3 linked regions of the Arabidopsis thaliana genome follow. The protein of the gene in region 1 purifies or fractionates together with the protein of each later gene. This does not show direct contact. Each region holds a gene or a part of one and is shown in the gene's direction. Other genes may lie near its edges.

Region 1 (3,762 bases):
GCTGCTACTTCTGAATCAAACGCTAAGAAGCCTTGTTGCTCATCGTCTTGAAAGGCTTTGTTTGTGTTGCACTTAAAAAAAGCCAAATATCTATGAGACTTTATTTCAAGGCTTGCGTTGTATTTGTTTTCTTTCTTTTTTCTGTTGTTGATAATATAACTCAAAGATAATTTTTTATATCAATTGTGGAGTTCGGAATCGTTCACACAAAACAAATTTTGGAAACGAAAAATATTTTTAGGGAATTAATTGTAGTTTTGAGTGGTAGTTGTAATGTAGTATCAGAAAAATAAGCAGAGTATAAAATGAAATAAACAAATACCAACGTAGACTATAGTTTGAATTTTTAATAGAGCAGAAATTCTTCGATTTCAAAGATAATTTAAATAAAGTAGACAAAATCACACAATATACATTTTTCAATCAAGAAGAAATGGAAAAGCAAAGAAAGGAAGTTAATTAAAAAAAAGGGGGAAAAAAAAAACGGAAGTCAACAAGAATACAGGCAAAACCAAAAATATATATTTGACGGAACAAAAAAAACAAAATATATATTTTATAGTATTAGTTTATGACATTATCTTTTTGCTAGTTTATGAGATTTATGAAGAAAAGGAAATATACTTTTAAAGTTGATAAATTGAAAAAAATTAGAAGAATGATTTACTTTTATTTTAGTTATTTTCTAGCAAGTTTTTTGTCAAAATGGTAAATTTCCAAGTCTTTCGAGTAGTTCCCGCCTCCTATAATATCAACAACTTTTAAGCAACTTGTAATCATCAACAAACAATTTACTTTGTTTCTTTGTCACTGAAAACAAATACATAAAAAAGATGGAGATCCCAATCTGGGGATGGTGTATTATCGTCGCAGGAATAATAATGGTGACGGTTTTATGCAATTTGCTCGATAGGTGGTGCTCGAAACCTCTTGAGATAGAAGAAGATGGTAAAGCGTCGTCTTCTGTAACTTTGGAGAAGAAGGATCCAGTGAAAGAAGATGGTAAGAGCAAGACGAACGAGAAGGCACAAGCTAAGCCAAATAATAATCTCGTTTGAAGAAAATTTTCAATATATTTGTTTTGCATCCCTTGTTTTTATCATATAGTTTTCTTATTTTTAACAAAGGTTAGACTCTTGAGAATCTAAAGAGTTTGAAAGATGTTATCTATGTATGGTTTCTTTATCTTATCATAACTAACTAAACATGTTGTGTGGTGTTGATGAAAGATTGAAAGGATTAATCAATCACATTCTCTAGAACCAAAGTCGAGAATTCTTTTAACTATTAGTCTCTTAGATTTGCTTCCATTACTAATCTTTCAAGTTTGAGGTGTAACTCAAATTTCTCAACATTTTTTTTCATGCAAATCTAAATTTCTGCAAATACAATGAAATTATACCATTAAACAATCCACCATATATAATATACGACATAAGCATCGCACAATAAAAAACCAGTAACATTTGAAAAGGGGAGGAGAAAGAAAACATGAATATTATTTAACAAAAAAAAAAAAACAAAAAAAGAAAAAGAAATTGAACGTCTACTAGTTAAAAAAAAAAAAAAAAAAAAAACTTTGAAGTCCCCAAATATCTGGGCCTTTTAGTGGATGTGGCCCAAATTCTAAATGGGTTTGACTTGGATCCGGTTTTGGCGAGACTAGTTCAGTTTAATAATCAGCCGTCGAATCCAAAGACTGAAGAAGGTAGTCTTAAAGAAAAACCCTAGAAACCATTACTTATCTCTCCCACTGGCTCTGTCTCTGTCAAATCTCGGATCGATTTCGCGGTGGGCTCGATTCGTGATTCCTCAAAGTTCATCATCCCTAAGGTAATTCTCTCCCCAAGCTGGTAGACTCAATCTACCGATTTTTGTGTTGCACTTAAGAAGCCGATATCTAAATTAGAGGTTTGCGTTTTTTTGGGGTAGGCACTGTCACTTAATGGCATCGGAATCGAAAAGCTACGCTAGGAGAGATCGTCTTCTTGAGATTGAGGCCACTGTTCGAAAGTGGTGGGAAGACGAGGATGTATTCAGAGCCGAATCTTGTGAGAATCTTCCAAAACCAGGAGAAAAGTTTTTCTCAACCTTCCCTTTCCCGTATATGAATGGTTATCTACACATTGGGCATGCCTTTTCATTGTCCAAGGTTGATTTTGCTTCTGCTTACCATAGGCTAAGAGGAGCTAATGTGCTTCTTCCATTTGGTTTCCATTGTACTGGTATGCCAATTAAGGCTTCTGCGGATAAGCTTCGTCGTGAGATTGAACAGTTTGGTAACCCTCCTGTGTTTACTGCTGAAGACACCACCAAAGTTCCTGAAGTTCAGGAGGAGAGCAGTGATACTATAGCTTTACCGATTCCGGGTCAGTTCAAGGGAAAGAAGTCTAAGGTTGCTGCCAAAGCTGGTGGACAGGTTTATCAGTGGGAGATTATGCGCAGTTTTGGTCTTACTGACAGTGAGATTGCAAATTTCCGAGAGCCTTCTGAATGGTTGTATTACTTTCCCCCTTTGGCTGTTGAAGATCTAAGGGCATATGGATTGGGTTGTGATTGGAGACGCTCGTTTGTGACCACTGATGTTAATCCCTTTTTCGATGCCTTTGTGAGGTGGCAGATGAGGAAGTTGAAATCTATGGGAAAGATTGTTAAAGACCGCAGGTACACTATATTCTCACCTTTAGATGGCCAGCCTTGTGCTGATCACGACCGTGCTACTGGGGAAGGTGTTCAGCCTCAAGAGTATACACTCATAAAGATGGAAGTAGTCAAGCCATTCCCTCTGAAACTGGGTCCTTTGGAAGGCAAGAGAGTGTTTTTGGCTGCAGCTACTTTGAGGCCTGAGACCATGTATGGACAAACAAACGCATGGGTACTACCTGATGGGAAATATGGAGCTTATGAAATCAGCGAAACTGAGGTCTTCATCCTTACTGAGAGAGCTGCGCTCAACCTTGCGTACCAGAACTTTTCGAAGAACCCTCAGGAGCCTTCCTGCTTGGTTGAGTTGACCGGGTATGATCTGATTGGACTCCCTTTGAGGTCTCCTCTGTCAGTCAACGAGATCATCTATGCTCTGCCCATGTTGACCATTCTGACCAACAAAGGTACTGGCATTGTCACCAGTGTGCCTAGTGATGCTCCTGATGATTACATGGCTTTACAAGATTTAATCAAAAAGCCTGCTCTTCAAGATAAGTATGGTGTGAAAACGGAATGGTTGCCCACTGAAATCATACCGATCATCAACATTCCGGAATTTGGGGATAAAGCTGCTGAAAAGGTCTGCTTGGATCTGAAAATTAAAAGCCAAAACGATAAGGAAAAGCTTGCAGAGGCTAAGAGGTTGACTTACCTGAAAGGATTTACCGAAGGAACCATGCTTATTGGAGAGTTTTTTGGTAGGAAAGTTCAAGAAATTAAGCCCATTATCAAGACAAAGCTCATAGAGACTGGCGAGGCAATCATATACAGTGAACCCGAGAAGCCGGTGATGTCAAGATCGGGTGATGAATGTGTTGTGGCTCTTACAGATCAGTGGTACATAACATACGGCGAATCAGAATGGCGGAAAATTGCTGAGGAATGCCTATCAAAGATGAATCTCTACTCTGATGAAACAAGGCATGGCTTTGAGCACACTTTGAGCTGGCTCAATCAGTGGGCTTGCTCACGATCTTTTGGTTTAGGAACTCGTATTCCCTGGGATGAACAGTTCCTAGTGGAATCCTTATCTGATTCATCTCTTTATATGGCCTA
Region 2 (3,098 bases), on another chromosome or scaffold:
CGTCTGTAGAGATTTAATATTTTGACTTTTCTCTTATAGCTTAAAAATGGGTGTGTTCGGCATTCTAAATCAATGTCACAAAGGAGACAAGCGGTAAGAACCACCAAACCCCATTGACGAAGATGGTCTCCTGGAAGGTAACTGTCCTAAAACAGAGATTAGCATGTTTCAGAAGTTTTTGTGAGAACCTTACTGTCCTATAACAGACAATTTATTTTGCCACATGTTGTAGATTTGGCACGTAAGAGACGTAGAGAACATACTTGTTGGAGCATCAAATGATTTCCTCCAAAGAAATTGATTAGATTGGGAAGACTAGTGTCTCGCGGCTGAATAGGTAAGCATGCTTGGAGCATAACGGCTAGCGGCAATGTCCAACTGCCATTAGGAACAACCTGAAAATCTACATCGACCTCTTTGATAGCGTGATATAGTCATGTGTGCATGCATACATTCATATGTGCATACATTCATACATCCATACATTCATGCATACATTCATACATTCATACATTCATACATTCATACATCCATACATGCATGCATACATTCATACATGCATACATTCATACATTCATACATCCATACATGCATACATTCATATATACATGCATGCTTACATTCATGCATGAATCTATGCATATTTGCTTTCTTGATTTATTGATTGCTTATTTACTTATTTGATTTCTTAACTAGCTTGCTTGTTTTTTTTTTCTCTCTGTTTACTTACATTTATAACTTGTTTACTTCTTGTTTGTTTCTTTGATTATTTGATCGTTACTCACTCCATATTGCTTCATTTCATTTCTTAATCTGTGTGTTTACTTCCTTCTTATTCCCTTCATTGTTTGCTCAGACCGTACATGCAATTCACTTGTTTACTTATCGTCAATTTCTTGATTTCTTTGATTATTTGGCAGTCGCTTATTCAACTGATTCATTCATGGCTTAGCTCTTTCACATGTTTCCTCTTTGATTCTTTGTATCTTTACTTCTGTAGTTGTTTTCTTACATGCTTACTTTACTTGTTTTATTGTTTCTTTCATTTTTTTGTTTACTCACATCATTGTTTATTTATTTATTTGCTTCTATTTAGTTATATACTTCTTTCATTGTGTATAAATTTTTTGAATTTATACAAATGTACTCATATAATTTTGACAACAATATGAAAAATCGAAACACTAATAAATATCCGAATAATCAAACCGAAACTGAAATATAAATATTATTTCAAAAGTTATTATTATAAATCTAAAAATATCAAAATAAATAAATCAAAAATACTAAAATACCTAAAATAACCGAAAAATCCAAAAATTAACAAAGTTTTTTTTCAAATCTAACCAATTCCTCATATATAAAATACATGTATGGAGCCTCCAAACCTAAACTCTAAAACCATAATCTAACCTGAACTAGTACCCAAACGCCTAGGCCTAATAACGTATATGCCACTTATAAAACTTTATAACATTTCCAAATTTTCATTAACTGTATAATAATTTATTATAGATGAATATAACACTTTAGCTAGAGATATTTCAAAAAAGGTCACTCGGGATGGTAGAATAAGATCGTATCTATCTATAAGTGGACCTTTGTGGCTTCATTCTCTTAAGATATATTAGTCGACACATTATACATGTTAAATTATATATATTAATATTAATTTGAATTGAAAGTAATAAATTATTATTGTTTTAGTTGATACAATAAAAGAAAATTTTAAAAACTCTTACCAAATATTAAATTATTTTTGTTTCTACAAAATAACTCTAATTAGTCAATAGTTAATACAATTGAACAAAAAAAAAATAATTTGATATGTTTAAAAAGTATTAATAAAAGATAGTAAAAAATAGAAAATATTCAATAGTTTCTGAAATGAAAATAAATTTTTGTTTTAATTGTTTATATTAACTAAAACAATCGACATAAAAAATAATAATATTAATATTGATGAGAGATATGGGTGCCTCGTCATCAACGGTGCAGAATCTCTGTTCTCTGAGTCGGACCCGTATTCGATCGATTTTGTGTCGACCGGACGGCAGCAGGATTAGCCGGTGAGAAATTCCAAACCAGCGGGTGGGTTAAAAAAGGGAAGGGAGCTAGGAAAAAGTTTCACTTTTCTTGAAGTGAACTATGGATCCTGCGCAGCGAATCTTCAGGTCAAGGTGGATGCTTCTGTGTCATATCGCTGCAAGTTGGTTACTACAAGAACTAGTCTTACCATAGTCCATAGATGGTTGTTTGAAGATTCCTCTGCAAGGTAAAGCTACGAAGGAGATGATCGAGCTTAACGTTGAGAAGTTCATTGATGTGGGAACAGTGGATCACCGCAGTGAAACTCCGTACTCAATTCCTAAATCGAAGCTGACTCTAGAGTATTTGAGAGACCATACTTATTTTCGTGCAAGAACCTCCATGATTGCAGCAGTTACAAGAATCCGACATAAGATGTGTCTTGCGGCGAAGAATAGGGGCCGGACTGCATAATACTATTATTTCAAGTTATTCACTGCCTAACTCTATTGTCTTGTTTATTTTAACGTGTTAGCATTAGAACCCTAAGGTTCGATATATTACAGTGATCAATATGACAACATGTCATGTAAATGTAATTCCACTCTCCTTTTTTCTTCTTCTTGATATGTAATTCATTCTCTTTTCTTCTAATTCTAAACTTTTTTTTTTCCACTCATTCTAAACAATTAATAAACTCATTTCTTATAACTTTTTCCTTTTGAACCCAAAAAAAGAAACTTTTTTGACTAGAATCCGATCAACTATGGAAAAGGACTATTGTGAATAATCTCCTGAATTAACTAGAAAGTGCCAAGAGCTCCATTAATTTTAACTGGATTCAAACATCAAGATCCCAAAAAGATGCAACACTTGTAATAATAATGATAAATTAGATTTTAACCGCGATACACCCTGAGACGATTTATTTTCTAAAACTAGTGATTTTTAAATTAAATGATTATGCATTATATTGCAAATGACATCATGTTATAAAATATTTTTTTATATAAATATTTTAATATATAGTTTGCAATTGTTATAATTATATTATATGATATTTTGGAAGA
Region 3 (3,762 bases), 3.1 Mb from region 1:
TTGTCTATCCTATTAATGAGCCTATGCGTGAGTATTGGCAACCAATCGGCTCCACCATCACAACTGATGGGTAAAGACGTACGACTATACTAATTATAATGTTTTCTCTTCTTGTTCTCTTGTCTTTTATTTATAAATAACTAGATAAGACCCGCCTAAATAGGCGGGTGTAAGATGTAAATGTAATTTTTATCGATAATATTTAAATTTTGAATAGTAAAATAATAGTCGATACATTGTTCTTATAATTTTGAATAGTAAAATAGTAGTCTTATGCATTTTATTTTGTTATACCCATTCAGTCTTATTGATGATATTTGAAGTCTAAATAGTAACCTACACACTTTTTTATATTATAATTTAGTATTTAGAAGAAAAAATAAATTTTTATCTTATACATTCAATTTTGTAATACAATTTAACTATCTATTTCATAAAAAACTCGATTTTAATTCTACACACTTCATCTTACTTGATAATGATTTCATGTCAAAATAATATATATATATATATATATATGAGATCAAATCTATATCTTAGTTAATATTAAAATTATTAACAATTAACAAAACATAATTCATAATAATAAAACATTTGCTAATACCATATATATTAAAAATTTGACCAATAACATATATAATTTTTTTTTTTTGTTAATTTTCCTTTTGGTTAAGAAAAATAAAATGTAATATTTTTTAGATATAGACATATGAATTAGTATATGTTAATAATGATTTATTTTTTAGTTTTCTATTTCTTTAAGAAGAAAAAAGTTAATTGATTTCTTTTTAAGTATTTCTATTTCTTTAAGAAGAAAAAAGTTAATTATTTTCTTACACATGTCAACATCTGATTGATAGATTTGACACGTGGCAAAATCGTATGAGTTAGTAACTTTGAAAACCATACTTTATATAATAAGATATTAAAAATTATTAACAATTAACAAAACATAATTCATAATAATAAAACATTTGTTAATACCATATATATTAAAAATTTGACCAATAACATATATAATTTTTTTTTTTGTTAATTTTCCTTTTGGTTAAGAAAAATAAAATGTAAGATTTTTTAGATATAGAAATATGAATTAGTATATGTTAATAATGATTTATTTTTTAGTTTTCTATTTCTTTAAGAAGAAAAAAGTTAATTGATTTCTTTTTTAGTATTTCTATTTCTTTAAGAAGAAAAAAGTTAATTATTTTCTTACACATGTCAACATCTGATCGATAGACTTGACATGTGGCATAATCTTATGAGTTAGTAACTTTGAAAACCATACTTCATATAATAAGATTTGTCGTTTACAATAATATAAGATGCATGCTTGTTGACAAAAGAAAGCAAGTTCGAAATATGTTAGAATAGAGCTATTTTAAAGGTTTCTTCTGGATCGTTTGAAATATACAAGATCGTTCGAAGGCACAATGCTCATCTTTTCTGTAGAGATATATCGTTTGCAATATACAAGATTGTTAACCTAATTAAGCTCATATTTGATAAGTTGAAGTGTTCGACAATCTTCTTTATTGTTTCCATTCTTGTCTTTTCTTCCTTTATTTTATTATTATTTTTTCTATAGTGTCTAATCTTTTTTCTTTCTTTACAACAATTCTGTTCCATTTTATTTTAGGGGTTTAATTAGAAAATTTGGTATTTTAATAATTATTTTTTAGTTGAAATATTTTAATAATGAATTAAATGAGTACTATTTTATAAAATGTTGAAAAAATACCTTAGATATATTTCCCAATATGTATAGATATAATTATATCTTTATGTTCTTTTTGGGGCAAAAAATCTACATTTTCTATACTAATCGTTTATTGCTTTAATTATAATAAACTATAAATGGTTGTTATGAAATAGTAATAACTTGTTAGTTTCATAATAATTTAAAGTTAATATATTAAAATATCAAAAATTCCTATTTGTTGGGAAAAAAGACACCCCCATGGCCCATAGTACGCTTCAAAATTAAAAACAAGGTCTCCCTCCCTGAAACTCCAAAGTCCGAAACTAAAACCTATCGACGTCCGTCTCACAACTTTTTACAAATTTCTCATCGTCTTCGTTCTCTGCTGCTCCACCAATGTCGAAGAATCATCCCGATGAGGATGAAACAAACCTATCCTCTGCCGTGAACCTCAATTTATAGGATGTATCTTTGAAAAAACATTCAGAATTTTTTGGGCCCTTTTCAATAGCATTTTTTTTGACAAAGCGCAATGTTAAATACGAGGATTGGGGCTAACCTTCACCAGTTTGACGAGCTTGTGTGGATTACGTAAGCGTACCTCGCGGTTTATGTCGAAGAATAGTTCCTTAGTCACATACATCCCTTATTTGGCGTTTGCGAGTTTCTTGCAATAGTAAATTACCGTCTCAACGGCAGAGCCGGTCTGTCATGCAAAAATGCCTTATGAAAATAAACAAATTGTGTCTTTTATTTGTTTGCATAATCACAAATAATAATAATATATAAAAGTTATACTAAAACTTTATAGAACATTTTTTATAACATTTTATAAGCGTTTTGTAAGTAAAAAAGAGGGAAAAAAACAAAATTATATTTTTAAATATAGCTCTATTTAGATTTTTGCCTACAAAACTATTCATCAAATTCACGTAATCGAGTTTTTCAAACATTGTTGTCTTAATGGATAATAAAGTCAATTCATTTCTTTGATTAATCAAAACAATTTTTTTTGTTATGTAAACAAAGTTCAACCACTTTACATTAGAAAGTTGAAAAATTCTTTCTAATGCCCTTTTCATAATGCCCCTTTTCAACTCTACCCTTTTGTTTTATCCATTTTCATTTATACCCTCTTTAAATTTTTAATGACCATTTTACCCCTATTTAAAAATTATTTTAGGTTAACAAAATAAAATATTAATATTTTTTCGTCTAAAATATTCTAAAATAAATTTCCCGCCAAAATTTTCCCGCAAAACTTTTTCGAAAAAAAAATTCCCGCCAAATTTTTTTTTCAAAAATTTCTTTCCCGCATTTTTTTTTTTGGCGGGAAATAGATTTACAAGGGATTTTAAAAGGGTTTTAAAAGATTTACAAGGGATTTTAAAAGGAGTTTTAAAAGATTTACAAGAGATTTTAAAAGATTTACAAGGGATTTTAAAAGGTTTTTAACAGATTTACAAGGGATTTTAAAAGGTTTTTAACAGATTTACAAGGGATTTTAAAAGGGTTTTAAAATATTTAAAAGGAATTTTAAAGGGCTTTAAAAGATTAACAAAGGTTTTTTTAAAATTTTTAAAGGGTTTAAAGTGTTTTAAAAGATTTATAAGGGATTTTAAAAAATTTACAAAGGTTTTTTAAAGGGTTTAAAAGTGTTTTAAAAGATTTATAAGGAATTTTAAAAGATTTACAAGATATTTTTAAAGGGTTTAAATGAGTTTTAAAAGATGTACAAGGGTTTTTAAAAGATTTTCAAAGAATTTACAAGAAGATCCTTTAAAATCCATTGTAAATCTTTTAAAACCTTTTTTAAATCCCTTGTAAATCTTTTAAAACCCTTTTAAAATATCTTGTAAATCTTTTAAAACCCTTTTAAAATCCCTTGTAAATTTATTTCTAGCCAAAAAAAATTTACAAGGATTTTTAAAAGCATTTTTTCGGCTGAGAAAATATTTGTTACGAAAAAAAATTTGGTGGGAATTTTTTTTTTAGCGGGAAAAAAGTTTGGCGGAAATATTTTTTTGGCGGAAAAAAAAATTTTTGGCGCCAAAAAATCG

What was found.
Region 2: the proteins of AT1G09620 (region 1) and AT5G38750 fractionate together in Arabidopsis thaliana (co-fractionation; one large-scale study listed by BioGRID). This does not show direct contact.
Region 3: the proteins of AT1G09620 (region 1) and AT1G18130 fractionate together in Arabidopsis thaliana (co-fractionation; one large-scale study listed by BioGRID). This does not show direct contact.

The regions. Positions count from the first base shown.
Region 1 is NC_003070.9:3,114,639-3,118,400, reverse strand, and holds the start of AT1G09620 (ATP binding/leucine-tRNA ligases/aminoacyl-tRNA ligase), read left to right. Parts: upstream 1-1,701; 5' UTR 1,702-1,833; intron 1,834-1,932; 5' UTR 1,933-1,945; coding exon 1,946-3,762. Other genes in the region: RAB11c (RAB GTPase 11C), read left to right, coding at 1-51; AT1G09625 (uncharacterized protein), read left to right, coding at 834-1,058. UniProt on the Arabidopsis thaliana protein: Catalyzes the specific attachment of an amino acid to its cognate tRNA in a two step reaction: the amino acid (AA) is first activated by ATP to form AA-AMP and then transferred to the acceptor end of the tRNA.
Region 2 is NC_003076.8:15,520,679-15,523,776, forward strand, and holds AT5G38750 (asparaginyl-tRNA synthetase family), read left to right. Parts: upstream 1-1,971; coding exon 1,972-2,069; intron 2,070-2,110; coding exon 2,111-2,180; intron 2,181-2,262; coding exon 2,263-2,502; downstream 2,503-3,098.
Region 3 is NC_003070.9:6,233,797-6,237,558, forward strand, and holds the start of AT1G18130 (Class II aaRS and biotin synthetases superfamily protein), read left to right. Parts: upstream 1-2,098; coding exon 2,099-2,146; intron 2,147-3,762.